2 linked regions of the Tamandua tetradactyla genome follow. The protein of the gene in region 1 interacts with the protein of each later gene in a pairwise test. Links are inferred from orthologs where the notes say so. Each region holds a gene or a part of one and is shown on either strand. Other genes may lie near its edges. The genes, in order: TNNI3 and TNNC2.

Region 1 (7,687 bases):
TGTTCTTGCGCCAGTCTCCCACCTCCCGGATTTCCTGGGAGAACGGGACCAGAAGTTAGGGTCTCTCCCTGACCTCTGGCCCCTCAAGGAACCCCACGTGCCCTCCTTGCTGCCGAGTGGCTCTACACTGGATGCCAGTCCAAGGGCCTGATTCGAGAACATTTCTTGCCCCCTCAAACAATGTCTGTCAACATGCACTTCCTGTCTCCGTCATACGCTTCCCGTTTTCCTTCATGTACTTCCTGTTTCCCCTCACGCACTTCCTGTTTCCCCCACGCACTTCCTGTTTCCCCTCACGCACTTCCTATCTCCCTTCTGCACTTCCCGTTTCTCCTCGTGCATGTCCTGTCTCCCTCCTGCATTTCCTGTATCCTTCATGCTTCTCCTGTTGTCCCCCTGCTCTTACATCCGTGCATAATTTCTCTCTTCTATGATACTTTCTGTCTGCCCCTCCCTCTTCCTGCCCCCCTGCTTACTTCTCTTCTATTTAACTTGTTTTTGCTTTCTTGACCCCGTCCTGCACTTCTTGCCTCCTTGATGCTTCCTCTCTTCCTGTAACATTTCCTGTCTTCCTCTTGCATTTCCTATGTCCCTCCTGTACCTGGCACTGAGGACCCCTTACCAGCTGCTTCTACCCCAGACTCCGTGCACCACCTCCTTGGGTTATGCCGTAGGGTTGCTGACCCCCAGAGCCCAGGGACCGCAGCACCACACTCACCTTCTCCGTGTCCTCCTTCTTCACCTGCTTGAGGTGGGCGCGCAGGTCCAGGGACTCCTTAGCCCGGGTCCCCAGCAGCGCCTGCATCATGGCATCCGCAGAGATCTTCACTCTCTTCAGGGTGGGTCGCTTAAACTTGCCCCGAAGGTCGAAGATCTTCTGGGTCAGATCTGCGATCTGGGAACCACATGGGGATCTTCCCTTGACTACCCTGTCATCCGGCTTTTCCACCTACATCCCCTGCCTTGCAGTACCCAGGCTTCATCCAGTCCCCAGCTCAGGCTCCCACTGGCTTCAGGACAAAATCCAAACTCCTCATCCTGGAACGCAAAGCTCTCTCTGATCTATCACTTCCCGCTCCAGACACACATTCCCACCATCGCACCTTCTGCATCCCGACTGCTGCCTGGTTTGCCACAGGCTGCTCCCTCTGCCAGGAACACCCCTTCCTGGCCATTTTATACTCATCCTTCTGTCTCCTCCCCACCAGGTCCCCACAGTTTTCCCGGGTCTGCCGGGGACTGCAACCAAAAGGGGCTGCGAGAGGTTCTCCCAAGACATCCCACCCCGCTCTGACGGGCACCCCAGCGGCCCAACATCACCACCTCCTTAACGTTCTTGGTCACTTTTGCCTCCACGTCGTATCTCTCATCATCCACCTTGTCCACGCGGGAGTGGAGCTGTCGGCACAAGTCCTGGTGGAGAAGGAGGGTGCATGGGGGGCGGGTGGACGCTGGGGGCCTGAGTTCCTGGGTCTGACACAGGAGGGGCTGGGGGAGCAGACTCTTGAATGTTTAGGAAGGAGGAGACTGGGCCCCTGGACATCTGATCCTAAAAGAGGATCCAAACAAAGGGTGCTCGGAGCCAAGAGAGTCTGAGGGTCCTGAGCAGAAGGGGTGAGAGTGACTGTCCCAAGTGCCCAGGGGTGCAAGACCGGAGCCCGGGTCCGGAGGGTCCCAGGCTGCGTAGGAGCCATGTCCGGCAGCCAGTACCTGCAGCTCCGCCAGGCCGAGCCCTGCCAGCTCCAGGGGCTGGCACCGGGCGCTCAGGGCGCGCCCCTTCTCCCCGCGCCGCTCTTCCGCCTCGCGCTCCAGCTCCTGCTTGGCGATCTGCAGCATCAGAGTCTGCGGGGTGGCAGGGGGACCGCAGCCCACCCGGGTGGCCGGATGAAGGCTCTCCCCGGGGGGAGTCGCCTCTGCCTTGCCCTCTCATCCCAGGCCCTGTCTTCGGGCCTCCAGGGACCCGCCCCCTCAACCCGGTTGTGGGGGGTGCTGACTCAAGCCACGCCCCTTCAGCACTGCCACGCGCGAGCCCCGCCCTCACTCGGTCCAAAACCACGCCCCTGGCGCCCGAAGCCCACTCTCAAGCCCCACACTCCCTCCCTCTCGAGTCCCGCCCCCCCCCCCGCCCCCAGCCCCGAGCACCGCTTTGTCCCCTCACCTTCAGCAGCAGTTTTCTCGACGCGGTGATCTTGGACTTTTTCTGCCGCGGTGACATGCGGTGGGAAGGAGCAAAGAAAGGTGAGGGAGGAGGCCCCGGGGCAGGCGGAGGGAGGAGCTGCAGCCCGCGCGCGCTCCAGGCAGGTGCGGGTTTCCACGCAGCTCAGCCGGGCCCACCCGTCCGGGGCTCCGGCCCCGCCCCGCCCCTCCATCGTGGGTCAGCCGGGGGCCCCCGAGGCGGCGCCCACCAGTCCCAGCCCGGCCTCCGCGGGGCGCAGTCCCCGCCGCCCCCGCCCGCAGGCCCCTCTACCCCCATGGGCGCCGTCGCCGCTGCGTGGGCCCCTCACTTTGGCGTGCGGCTGCGTGGCGTAGGCGCGGTAGTTGGCTGAGGAGAGGCGTCGGATCGGGGCGGGCGCGGGGCCCTGGGTAGAGGGAGCGGGGCTGCGTCACCCCGGGGTGCCACCCTGCCCTCCCCAAGCCCTCCCCAGGGGTTACCCCGGCCTCGCGGTCCCAGCCTGCTGCTCTCACCGCATCGCTGCCCCTGCAGGGAGAGAAACCGGGGACAGGGACTTGGGTCGCGCCTCCTCCTTTTCTAAGCGACCCCAGGGCCCCTCTGACCCGGAGGTCGTGCCACCGGCTCCCCCTTCATTAGGTCCCAGGCGTCCGGCTCCCTCCCCTCCACCTCTGGACAGACGTCCCTCGCCTCGCTCAGGGACCCGGGACGCGGCCCCCACGTCTCCAGCCCGGGACCCCAGGGTGCCGGGCCTCCACCCCTCACGCACTCATCCGCCATGCCGAGTCTCAGGCCCGGATCTGCGAGGGCCAAGAGACAGATCCAGGGGTCTCAGAGGGTCAGTGAGGGGGCGCCCGGGTGACCTTGGAGGTCCCTGGGTCGCTCGGGTCCCTCTGGCTGCTCAGGCGTCCCGAGGACACTGAGATAAAGGACGAAGGACAGAGACTAAATATACTGCGCCGCCTCCTCCCTCTGCCCAGGATGCGAGATAACGGGGCGCGTGAGGGGCGGGGCTGGCCGCGCTCCAGCTGGATCTCCCCGCAACCTTGGCGGCCGGGGCCCCCTCGCCCAGCAGACCCGGCAGTCCAGGCCCCCAGCCCCTCAGTAAAATGCAATGTCCTCTAGAAGGGGACGTCGCAGGACTCCAAAGTGGGGGTTTCGGGGAGGGGGAAGGGGGGCCATCCCCGGTGGGTGGCGGCAGGTGGGGGTGAGGCGTGATCAGAAGCCCCATGACAGCTAGACCTTAGTCTAGATCTTTTCCCGTCCGGGTCAGCACCCAAACCCTCAGGAAGTTCTTCCATTGTGGATCCAGGCGTGGGGGTCCCGGCGCCCACCCCACAGCCCTTCAGACGCCAGCTCCAGTTCACGTGGAAATCTCGTCTCGGGTCTCCCCTCCTCACTCCCCAGGCCCCTCCCGCCACCAGCCGCTGGAGACAGCCTGGGCGCCAGAAAGACACACGGACACTCGGAGAAGAGCACTCAGCTGTCTTTACTGGAACCTGTTGGGGGCCGGGCCGACCGGGCAGGAGAGCCTGCCACCCTCAGAAAGGGGCAGGGACCCCACGACGCGCGGTGCAGGCACAGGGTCCGATCCCAGGGCCGGGTCTCAGGGCTGGGGTAGAAGTGGATTTCTGAATTCTGGAGAACAGTCTAGAATTCCTAGAATGCAGGACCTCAGGAACGGAATTTGAAATTCTAGCAACACTTCTGGGGCTGAGTGAGAATCTTAAGAGTAAAACTGAGAATTCTACTGACAGGTTTCGAATGATAACAGAATTAGATGGGTTCTGACTTCAGAACTGAGACATGGGGGACTCGGTCTCTGGGGGTGGCGTCAGACTCTCTGGCTTTGGAGTCTGACTCGCTGGGGGCGGGGGCAGAGACTCCTGGGGCAGAGCCAGAAGCTCCAAGACTGAACCCTGGGTCTCAGGGGGCCGGTCAAAAGGCTCAGGGGGTGGGGCCAGTTCCTTAAGACGCGGGACCAGGCGCTCAGAAGGCGGGACCAGGGCTTCTGGAGGTGGAGTTCCACAATCCGCAGTTGGGTCGGCGCCGCCAGGAGGAGAATCTCCGGACTTGCAGAAGCGCGCAAAGGTCTCCGAGGGCGCGGCCCCGGGTTGAGGAACGAATCCAGCTGCCCGAGCTAGCTCCCCGACCCGCGCGGAGAACTCCTGCAGCTGCTCCGGCCGCAGGTCTACGAGATATCTGAGACCCGGAAGAAGCACGTCAGGGGCCCCTGCTCTCGGGTCCCAGGCCCGGCCGCCCCGGCCCGGTGTCCATCTAGCTCACCGGGCTAGTTCCACGATCATGCGCCCTCCGGGGGCCACACAGGCCCCGAGTTCAGGGCTGAGAAGATGGACCATTCTGCAGAGAATAAAGAGAAGCGGTTGCAATTCCAAATCCCGGTCCTGAGGGAGGAGAGACTGGGGGTCTGGACCCCCGGGTCTAAGGGTGGAAGGGCTGGGGGCCTGCACCCCGGGGTTGAGGGAGGAGGGGCTGGGGGAAGGAGATGTGGTGCCTCCCGGGTTCTCTTACCCGCAGGCCAGGTAGAGAAGCTGGAACCGTCCCTTGTAGCAGCCTTTGTGGTGGAGGGTCTGGGCAGAACCGAGGGGCAGGAAGTGGATAATGAAAGACTCCGGGGCGGCGTCTGCTGAGGAGCAGAGAGGGGCATCCCTGGGCTGTGACGCCAAGGTGGGGTGCGTGTGTGTGTGTGCGCGCGTGTTAGACGCTGACAGCGTCTGGACAGATGCACAAGGCTTGGAGCTAACGCTCCTTGTAAACATACACCTTGAAATCCTTTTCTCATCCTTTCTCTTAGGTAGGTTCCTGGAAAATCCTATAAGGGTCGGCCAGAGAGGTAGAGGCCTATTTTACCAACCGAAGAACTGAGACGAGACAGAGAGAGAGAGAAATTGGGGCGGGCAGGGCGCCGTGCGCAGACGGGTCAACACCCAGGGAGAGCCGCGTCGGGAATGGTTAGAGAGTGGCAGGTGTGTGTGATGAAACCCAGTCTCCAAAAGGTGACTGGGACCCTGCTCCCTGTTAGAATGCTCTCAGCCAGACTTCTGCAGGTAACCAGAATTCTATTTGTGGGATTCTGAATTCCAGGAAGAGAAGCACAAAGAGAGACTAAGACGCGCCGTCCGGAAGGGGAGGTCACTGCCCCCGGACTACAGGGTGAAATGCCTGGAGCCTGAAGCCCCGTCCCGCGTTCTCCCGGGGCGCCCGAGCCCGGCCTCCCAGTTCCCGGGGAGCGCCAAGCGCGCGGCTTACGGGGCTCCGGGGCTCCCTCCCCGACGCGCTGCGCCTCCTTCGGCGGCCCCTGGGTGGCCCTCGGGCGCCGCCATGCGGACACCTCCCGGAACAGCGCCGTCACGTTGCGCAGCGTGATGTCGCCCGCGGTCTGCCGGGGGAGGGGGCGAGGCCACGTGCTGGGGTGGGGGCTGCGGGGCGGGGCTAGAGCACTGACCGGGAAGCTGGCACCCGAGACCCGAGCTCCGGGCGAGCTTGGATAGCGGAGGCCTGACTGGCTTAAACCCCCAAAATGGCCAAGGAACGCCAAGACCTGAGGCGGGGGCGGGGCCTATAGGGAGGCGGGGCCAGGGGTGAGGGGCGGGGTCTGGACGGCGGCGGGCGGGGCCTCGCCGTGGCTCCCCCAGCCCGCCCAGCGTCCGCACACCTTGACCGGCTTCCCGTTGCTGGTGCGCAGGAGGCTCTGGTCGTCGGCTTCGATGCCAAAGGCCACAAAGGGCCCCGTGGCGATGTCTCCCCAGTACCCGCGCGCGGCCACGCGCTCCCCGCGCTGGGAGAGGAGGGCGAGAGGAGGCGGGTGAAACTGGTGCTGGGGCCCCCCAATAACTGCCTGGCTCCTGGAGAAGGAGGAGGGGAAAGGGCAGCGGGCGACACGCACGTGGCTCAGGAGGCGACCGGACGCCAGGGTCCGGTTGGGGACGTGGTAGGCGCTGGAGTCTCTGCGCTCAAAGGCGACGCCGGTGTCTCTCCAGCGCCGGAACTCGCGAATGTGGATGACCTGGGCCTGGGGTGCGGGGCGGGAAGGAGGCCCAGCGGGTTGGCCTGTGAGCTCCCAGCCTCTCTCGCCTCAGACCCGGGTCCAGGCCCCCAGCCCCTCCACCCTCACGCCCGGGGGTCCGGGCCCCCAGTCCCTCCCCTGGGCCGCAGGCGCGCCCCTCACCCCCCGGTCGTGCAGCTTCATGTGCAGGTCCCAGTCGCTGACCCCGCGCCGGGCGTCGTAGCGGGAGCCCAGGTATTGGCGGAGCCGCGAGTCCCACAGACGGCTCATGGGGAAGGCCTCGGGCCCTTTCTCTCCGCCCGCCCAGAAGCGGAACACCGCCTCCAGCGCGTCCCGCTCGCGGAACTGCTCCGGCACGCGCGCGTGGAGAAGGGAAGGAAGTGGGGAACGGAGGGCGAGCGGCTTCTCTAGCCTGACCCTCTCTCCACTCCAGGGGGTGAGAAGGAGCCTTTCTCGGGTGAAGAAACTGAGGCTTCAGGGAGAGGAAGCCCCCTCCCCCGGCCCCGCCCAAGATCCCACAGTGGGAGCCAGGGACCTGGGATCCCAACTCCAGAGCCCCAGTTCTCGCCATCTACACATCTGTCTCAGGACTGCCCATTTCCATTCTCCCCAAGGCCATCCGGAACCCCGCGGGGGGGGGCGGTACCTTGAGGGCGCTGAGGCTGAGCCAGGGCAGCTGCTCGGCCAGACACTCGGGCTCCGGGACCAGGTGCGCCAGGCGGTCGGCCTGGGCGCGCACGACGGCGCCCACCTGGGCACGCAGCAGCGCATTCCCCCACACCTCCAGGAAGGCCTCGCTCCTCTCTGGGGGGAGTTCAGAAATCAGACAGGTGTGTGTGTGGGGGTGAAGACCCTTTCCAGAGTATATGTTCATTTCTATTGTTATCTAATTATTTCATATTTATTAATGAATAAAATGAAGCCGGGCCAACTCTGCACAGCGCAATACCTACAACGGGAACTGTTTACCCTAATCTAGGTCTGTTTCCTGTCTTTCTCCATCCCACCTGTCCTGAATTGCCTGTGACAATTTGGGTGGGGGGAGTGCGCTGCGGGAGGCTGCATGGGCCAAGAGTGGAACCCGGTCTCCCACATGGCCGGCGAGCATTCTACCACCTAATCACACACCTTCCTCCTTTCAGCCTCAGCTCCAAGGCCGCCTCCCTGGGGCAGACTCCCCGGGCCTCACACCTTCAATTGAGGGAGACGAAAACCCTGCCCCACCCCCTGTCTCTTCTGCCTCTCCTCCTCTAGGGTTCACTCCAGGGAATCTCCTCATCTCCCTTGGCCTTCTCCCAGGGCAGGAGATGTTGAGCACTGACATGGCATTACGCACTATTCTTAAAGTTTCATGTGGATTTTCTCCTGGAATTCTCTCACTGACTGCAGGAGCTATTATATATTTAGCATTTTACAGATGGGGAAAGCTGAGGCTCTAAGGTTACTGACTGAGCAAGTGATAAAATAAAATAGAGGGCAATGACCAAACA
Region 2 (7,605 bases), on another chromosome or scaffold:
CTTCTCACCCCCATCCCCGCCCGTGCCGCGCAGCTGCAGGTGTGACAAGTGTGGCACCCAATAGCCAAAGGTCCCAGAAAGGGAGGCCTCCAGAGTCACCCCGCGGTCCTGCCGCGCCTGCACCCTCCTCGGGCTGCCAGCTTGCGGGACTCGGCGGGAAGCCCCCCGCGGCCTCCGAGCGGCCCACGCCCAGCGCCAAAGGCCCGCAGCCGGCCGTGAACTGGCGAGCACGGCCCCACGCCCTCCCGCATCCCGCCGCTCCCGCCGCCTCGCCGGGGAGACGTCCCCGGTCCCCCTCACTCAGGCCACGCGCTTTGCAATGTTTGCGTTTATTCCTGCCGGACGCAGACCCAGAAGGCGCAGCGCCTCCCTGCCGGGGCCGGGGACTGGGCGCGGCTGCGGCCGAGCCGCCTACGGCCAGGGACACGCGGTGTCGGCGGGGGCGCGGGCCGACTCCTTACTGCACACCCTCCATCATCTTCAGGAACTCTGCAGGGAGGGAGCGGGAGAGGGCATCAGGGATTACCCACTCGCGACGCGGAGAACTGCGGCAGGGGCCGAGCGCGGGCCGGCCAGGCCTCGGGCCACGCGGAGGGGCCACCCCGGTACTAACTAACAAACCGCACAAACGCTCCCGCACGCCCGACCCGCCCGCAAGGGGGAGGGGCCTCGGTCGGGCTCCGACCGGCCCCGCCCACAAAGCCAGCGCGCGCGTGTGCGCCCCCCGCGCATGCGCCCCCCTCGACTTGGCTCCCGCGGCCCTCACCGTCGAAGTCGATGCGGCCGTCGTTGTTCTTGTCCCCGTCCTTCATTAGGGATTCGAGCTCCTCGTCCGTCACGTGCTCCCCGGACGCCCTGAAAATCTCGGCCAGCTCCTCGGCGTCGATGTAGCCGTCGGCGTTCCTTGGGGCGGAGCGGCAGCACGTCGCCCCGGCCGCGCTCCTCGGCCCCTTCCCGCGGCCCCTCCCTCCCGGGGACTCGCCCCCAGGCCCCTCCCCCCGCGCCCTGCGCACCTGTCGAAGATGCGGAAGCACTCCGCCAGCTCCTCCTCGCTCTTGCCCTTGGCGTCCTCTTTCATCTGGCGCACCATCATGACCAGGAACTCCTCAAAGTCGATGGTGCCGCTGCCTGAGGACGCGGGGCGGCCGCCTGAGCCGGAGCCCCGGACGCCGCCCCTCCTCGCCGTGCCCCACCCCGCCGACCCGGGGCCTGCACTCACCGTCCTCGTCCACCTCCTCGATGATGGCGTCCAGCTCCTCCTTGGTGGGCGTCTGGCCCAGCATCCTCATCACCGTGCCCAGCTCCTTGACGCTGATGTCCCCGCCGCCATCGGCATCGAACATGTCGAAGGCGGCCTTGAACTCTGCCCGGAGAGTAGGCGTCCAAGGCTGCGGCGAGCTGGCGAGCCTGCCAGCCCCACAGCCACCCTCCCACCTGCCCACGCACCCCCACACCCGGTGCCCCCCGCCCACTCACCAGCAATCATCTCCTCGCTGAGATAGGACCGGGCCTCAGCCTGCTGGTCCGTCTGCAGAAGACACGGGGAGTCAGGATGCAGGGGAAGCAAGCCCTCGGGCGGATTCTTGCCTTCACCCTCTTCCCGCCACCCCCAGTTTCTGTGAGTACTCCTGGGGCCTCAGGAAAACCGGGTCCACACTTGCCGAGCTGCTGCCTGGCCCCACAGCATCCACCCCAGTTGAAAAGAACTCAGGGGCAGACACAGGTTATGTCCAAGATCTCCTCGTTTATCAGTCTGAAGGCCAGTCGACAACCCCCACTGACCTTGGGCAAGTCACTTAGTGTACCCTCATTTTTTCTCTAGATTGAGATGAAATTACGGGTGTGAAAGGGCTTCAGAAAGCATCATTCCAGCGTGATTTTTCCTAGCACCTGATAATGCGGTCCTACTTCAGGCGGTGCTCAGTAAATGATGACGCAACACAAAGCTAGTGGGCATGTACTGTGCCAGGCCACAGGCCATACACGGACCCAGAAGACCTGGACTCATCATCCCTCCCCTCAGAGAACTTGCAGAGGTGGAAGGCAGGGCTCCAAATGGTAAGGTTCTTAGGACTTAGTCATCCCAGTAAACACTCTCATGCTAGGTAAAAGGTGCTGGTGGCCTTGAGAGGGCGAGAGTAAGATTGCCGTAGAGCTTTCCGGTCATATCCCAGCCGGACCATCTGTGGAGGCTTCATGGAAGGAGGGGCCATTGGACTGATGCTTGGCAGCGAGGAAGGGCTGAGATGTCCAAGGAGTTCTTCAGCCACTGCCTCCCCCTTGCCCCCCCTCCTGCCACCCTTCTTTCCGGTGCCAGAAGGGCAGGCTATTTTTAATCAGGCAAGGGCAATAGCAGCTGGTCTCTGGGGTCTAGTTACTCCTTGAAGTGAAGTGGGGTGGGGGTGGGGGTCTCAGGAGAAAATGACAGTCCCAAATCAGAGCCCCTTTCTGGGAGGCTGCGGTCTTCCCAAGTCTGGTCTGTCGTCTTCTGCCTTTTCCCATCACTCTCGAGGCTCTGGAGCCCTGCACCTAAGCTGGCTGCAGGCACCCAATCTTCTGGAGAAGCTTTTCCTACCATGGACAGTTGGAAGGTTTGGCCAGGCTTGAGGCCCACTCCTGCCACTCTCTCACTGGGACCTTAGTCAACCTGCTGTGGGTCTCAGGGTCCCCAACTCTACCGTGAGGGAGATAAGTGAAGACCCCTCACAGCTCTGTGACTGACAGTGCTGGGAGTCCCAAGGCCTGGAAGGAATCGGCAAGCCTTGAGCATCAACCCATGGAACATCCCAACCTTCCCCTTCCAAGAGAAGTAGAAGGCCTTCTTCCCAGCCTTCCCCCAAGACCCCTGGCTTCCAGGACACTTCACACCGCAACTGTAAAACTCCGACTTACTGACCCGCATCCTGCACACCCGGTCTGGCCTGGGAGAGGCCCAGAAGTGCTCCAGCAAGGGAGAGAACGAAGTCCATCCTTACCCTTACCATGATTGTCGTTGGCTTGGGATCCTCAGCTGCGTGTCACCTCCTCTGCACACCACCACCCGAGGATGCCCCAGCCCTCTCCAGCCCCCGGGATTTGTAGGGGCCCCTTCCCCTCCCGCCTTCCTGCTCCCCAGGACTGGTTAGCCTGGCCAATCAGATTCTGGGGTCAGCGAGCCCCACCCCTCCCAGAATCCTAGCCCATTACCTAATTTAGCCAAGGGCCCTTGCAGAGAAATTTAAGCCTCTGAGCAGGTGGCAGGCCTTGGCGTCCTAGATTCTTGTGAGGAGGACTTTCCCTGCTCCCTGCCTCAGGGAGCCCCGGCTCAGGAGGCACACTTGTGCCAAGATGGGTACCGACAATCAGAACAGAGGAAAATGGGGCAGCAGGGGAGATAGAGTAGGCAGAGCACAGCTATGCTGTCCAAAACCCAAGATCCAAAGTCCTGCCTCTGTGAGCTGTGTGACACTGTGCAGGTGGCAATGCCTCTCTGAGCCTCAGTCTTCTCATCTATGAGATGGGGATAGTCATAACCTCCCTTACAGAGAGATCGCTATAAACAGGAGCCCAGATATGCCACCTAGCCTGTGCCAGGTACATGGCAGGCAAGTCCTGTCTTTAAACCTTGGTAGACAGCTATGACCAGTTTGTTGAACCTTTATGACTTGCCACACACTGAGCATTTAAACCATATGAGCTCAGCTAGTTTTCATCCCATGAGGTAGTAACTATTATTATCCCCATTTTCCTGAAGTGCTTTGGAAACCATAAGCATCTGTATGCATGTTGGTGATTCTTATTATTAATCCTGACAGGGATAACCTGGGACAGATGGTCCTGGGCAGAGGGGGAGGAGGGGGAGGGGGAGATGATGGGGGCATTTGGAAGGGGTCATGAAGGGGGCTGTAAATAAGATAAGCATAGAGAGCAGACAGCCTGTCTCCTCCAGGAAAAGGGTGTTTGGGATTCACTTTGGTTTTGATTTTGGGTTTTTTTTGGTGGGTGGGGTGGTGGGGGAATGGGTGGTCCCAGGGAAAGTTTCTCTATAGTTGAAGGGGCAGCTGACCTCCTCCTAGAGCTCCATGAAGGTATCTGGAAGAGCTCAGCTGGCCATCTGGAGAGTGAATGAAGTGGGCAGCTCTAGTCTGAAGAGAGACCACCCAAGAATCCTCAGGTTCCAGGCTGGGCATTTTGGGGTAGGCCAGGCTCCTGGACAGTGGCTAAATCAATAGAAAGCGCACCAAGCTGGTAGGGCATGGGTCCTGGGGCCAGGGAGGGGGTGCTGCACAGCAGGGAAGGCAGATGGACAGTGACAACTGGGCTGCCTCCTTTCCCTATATATAGACATTCCCAAGGAAAGCTCAGCAGAACCAGGTCAGGCAAAAAAGGACCTCCCCCAGCCAGGCAAAGGGCCAAGGGGCAACACCTAGGGGCCTCCAGTTTGGACACAAAATACTTGGAAACAGAGGTTGTGAACCTGCAGAGATTGTTTGTTCATTTGTGTGTTCTTTCATTCAGAGAAATAAAGTCAAATTCCTCAGTGTGGCAAGCAGGGTCCCATCTACCCCTCTGATCTTACTCCTTCCTCCTCTCTCCACCTTGAATGCTGCTCTGCTGTGATCAGACTTAAATACTCCCCCAAATATCACCCTTTAGAACCTCCATGCCCTTGTGCATGTTGTTTTTTTCTACCAGGAACCCCTTCTTCCCTCTCTTTGCCTGCCTACTTCCCTACTATCTTTTTCAGCTTTAACATCTCTTGCTCCAGGATCCCCCCTCCCCTATTCTCAGGTCAGGGGACTTCAGAGAGGTCTCCAGTAGTTTCTTGAATCACAGCACTGAGCATGCTGTATGATCACAATGTGTTCTGTATCACCCTGACCAGACACTGTTTCCTGTTCACCACTGCATCCTCCAGGGCCTAGCACTTGCCACTTAGCAGGCATTCAATACATACATAGCTGAAATGACTGGGATCTGATTCAATAAAAGGAAGGACTAAATAACAATCACGGGAACCAGCAGCTTTATAAGGAAATGAGCTCCCTGTCACTGGATGTTTTCAAGCAGGAGTTAGGTAACTATCTCGCAGGGAGGTTGTAAGGAGATGGCATATGCAGTCTAAGAGTTTTGGGGAATTCAAAGTTGTGGATCAGAAGACCTGTTGTATGGGTAAGTCCATTCCCCTCACTAAGCCTCAGACTTCCCAACTATAAAATGGAAGCAATAGGCCAGATTTTTGAGAGACCCTTTTGGCTCTGGGCTCCAGTTTGCTAAAGCTGCGGGGATGCAATATATCAGAAGTGGGTTGGCTTTTACAACGGGGATTTATTAGTTGATAAATTTACAGTTCTAAGGCCCTGAAAATGTCCAAATTAAGGCAGTAACAGAATGATACCTGGACTCCAAAGACAGGCCACTGGCATCTGGGACCCCTCTGCCACATGGGCACACACATGGCTGGCATCTGCTGCCTCCTTTGCTCCCAGGTCCCCTTGCTTTCAGCTTCTGGTTCCAGCAGCCTCTTCCCTGAACTTCTCCGGTTCTCGTTCCACTCTGAGCTCTCTTTGGGTGTTCTACTCTGAGCCCTCTGGCTTTTTCTGCCTTTTATCCTCTCATAAAGGACTCCAATAGAGGATTAAGTACCCTCCTCCTTGAATTGGGTGGGTCACATCTCAATTGAAATAACCTAATCAGAAGGTGCCACCACAAAGGGCTCACACCCGCAGGAAGGAACTAAAAGATTATGGCCTTTTCTGGGGTACATCACAGCTTCAAGCCAGCACACTCTGACAGCCATGGTTTTATGAACACTATTTGTACTCGGTCTTTTGAGGCATTTATCAAAGTGCAAGGTAATATTCAGCCAATGTTTATTTATTGGCATAAAGAGCAGGAGGAGCTTTGAAATTACATGGATTTGTTCCCCTATTTCCTAGCTGTGGACCTTGGGAAAGTCAAGTTGCCTTGGTTTCTTCATCTTGAAAATGGATCATCATTGTCCAGTAATAGACTCCAGGATATTGTGAGGGTGAAATGTGACACCATGTAAGGTGCCGCCAACTGAACTCTGGACGCCGTGGCACCTAAGAAGCGAACCCTGCCCCGCCCACTTGAGGGAGGGCAGAGAGTGTGCTCTCTGTGCAGACACGTCCCTGCCACTCCTCTCCAGGCCCACTCCCAACAGGGTTGCAACTGCTTTCAGGGAGGTTTTGTTTAATCGTATAACTAAGATACCTGCCCTGCTAGAGACAGACATCTAGACCTTCTAACAGGAAGCCTCAAATGATTCTTAATTCTTATCAACCGACCCTTCCCCTCCACAGAGAAAATGAAACCGGCGCCCCAGAGGAGCTGCTGAGATGACAGCAGCCCTGCTGCGCGGGAGAAGAGCAGGATGCGGAGCTCAGGAGGCTCTGGTTCCAAGTCCCCACACCTAGAAATCTCTAGCAGGCTGTGGAATTTTGGGCAAATGACTGGCCTTCCTGGTTCTTAGTTTCCCCTTTGACCTACTCCCTACATGCGAGACTCAAATGAGCTTGTGAAAGCCTGTGAGCACTGTAGAAACAAAATCATGATGTAACTGAGCATTTCGTCAGCCCCTGCCTGGTGCTGGGCCCTGGGATCCCCGCCTGAGCTGATGCTACCAGTTGCAAAATTACAGTCAGATCAGACGCCAGCCCAGATCCCGCACCCACTCCAGGCCCGGATTCCTCACTGGAGAAATGGGCGTCCTCTGCTGCATAATGACTTCGGAAAGTTAGAGAGCTCCGGGGACAACGAAGTGGAAAGATGGGGCGGACAGGGCTGCTGGGAGGGGTGCGAGGGTTCGAGGAGGGTGCGCTCCCGCCCAGTTGGGGGACAACCCGGCCGAGGCGTGAGGCTCGCCCAGGCCGGCCCCGGATTCCCAAGTCCCTCCCGGGGCGCGGGGCCCGGAATTCCCGGGCGGCTCCGGGCAGCGGGCGGGGCCGGAGGCGGGGCGGCGGCAGGAAGCGGCGCTCGGAGCGGCCTGGGCCGGCGGAGCCGCGGCGCCCGGCCGGTTTCGGCGAGCCACAGCGGGGTTGCGGGCCTTCCCGGGGAGCGGGGCGCCCTGGGCGCTCGGCGGGGCGCCGGAGGTAGAGGCGCGCGGGGCGGGCAGAGAAGCGGGGAGGACCCGGTGACCCTCCGCGGAGGAGCGCGGCCCAGGCTGCGCGGGCGGGGGGATGGCGGCGCGGCAGGAGGCCCGGGGCGCGCGGGACCCCCAGCGGGCGGGGGCGGGGCCTCCGCGGCGCCCCTCCCTCCACCGGCCAGTGCCCCGCCCCTCCGCCGCGCCCGGGCTGGGGGCCACCTCCCGCAGGGGCCGAGGACCCAGCCCCGGGTGCTCCCCCCAGGGTGCCATGGCCTCCCGGCTCCTGTACCGGCTGCGGCACGCCCTGGCCGGCGACGGCCCCGGGGAGGCGGCGGGCGGCCCCGAGGCCGAGCAGTTCCCGGAGAGTTCGGAACTGGAGGACGACGACGCCGAGGGCCTGTCCTCGCGCCTCAGCGGCACCCTCAGCTTCACCAGCGCCGAGGACGACGACCTCGGGGACGACGACGACGACGAGGAGGACGCTGGCCCCGACCCGTTGCCCACCGCGCGCCGTGCGT

What was found.
Region 2: the proteins of TNNI3 (region 1) and TNNC2 interact in binary tests that used the Homo sapiens proteins (3 or more experiments, as listed by UniProt). The two-hybrid records come from large-scale screens. The link is inferred for Tamandua tetradactyla from reciprocal best matches to the Homo sapiens genes TNNI3 and TNNC2.

What each region holds. Positions count from the first base shown.
Region 1 is NC_135342.1:4,545,673-4,553,359, reverse strand, and holds the start of TNNI3 (troponin I, cardiac muscle), read right to left. Parts: upstream 3,110-7,687; 5' UTR 2,951-3,109; coding exon 2,940-2,950; intron 2,699-2,939; coding exon 2,653-2,698; intron 2,216-2,652; coding exon of another isoform or gene 2,201-2,215; coding exon 2,159-2,200; intron 1,843-2,158; coding exon 1,711-1,842; intron 1,414-1,710; coding exon 1,324-1,413; intron 896-1,323; coding exon 719-895; intron 35-718; coding exon 1-34. Other genes in the region: DNAAF3 (dynein axonemal assembly factor 3), read right to left, coding at 3,964-4,372, 4,457-4,531, 4,703-4,817, 5,441-5,570, 5,847-5,969, 6,078-6,203, 6,360-6,542, 6,844-7,001. UniProt on the Homo sapiens protein: Troponin I is the inhibitory subunit of troponin, the thin filament regulatory complex which confers calcium-sensitivity to striated muscle actomyosin ATPase activity.
Region 2 is NC_135327.1:6,387,924-6,395,528, reverse strand, and holds TNNC2 (troponin C, skeletal muscle), read right to left. Parts: upstream 3,097-7,605; 5' UTR 2,985-3,096; coding exon 2,976-2,984; intron 1,529-2,975; coding exon 1,477-1,528; intron 1,364-1,476; coding exon 1,220-1,363; intron 1,129-1,219; coding exon 1,014-1,128; intron 904-1,013; coding exon 767-903; intron 490-766; coding exon 458-489; 3' UTR 314-457; downstream 1-313. Other genes in the region: SNX21 (sorting nexin-21), read left to right, coding at 7,356-7,605. UniProt on the Homo sapiens protein: Troponin is the central regulatory protein of striated muscle contraction. Tn consists of three components: Tn-I which is the inhibitor of actomyosin ATPase, Tn-T which contains the binding site for tropomyosin and Tn-C.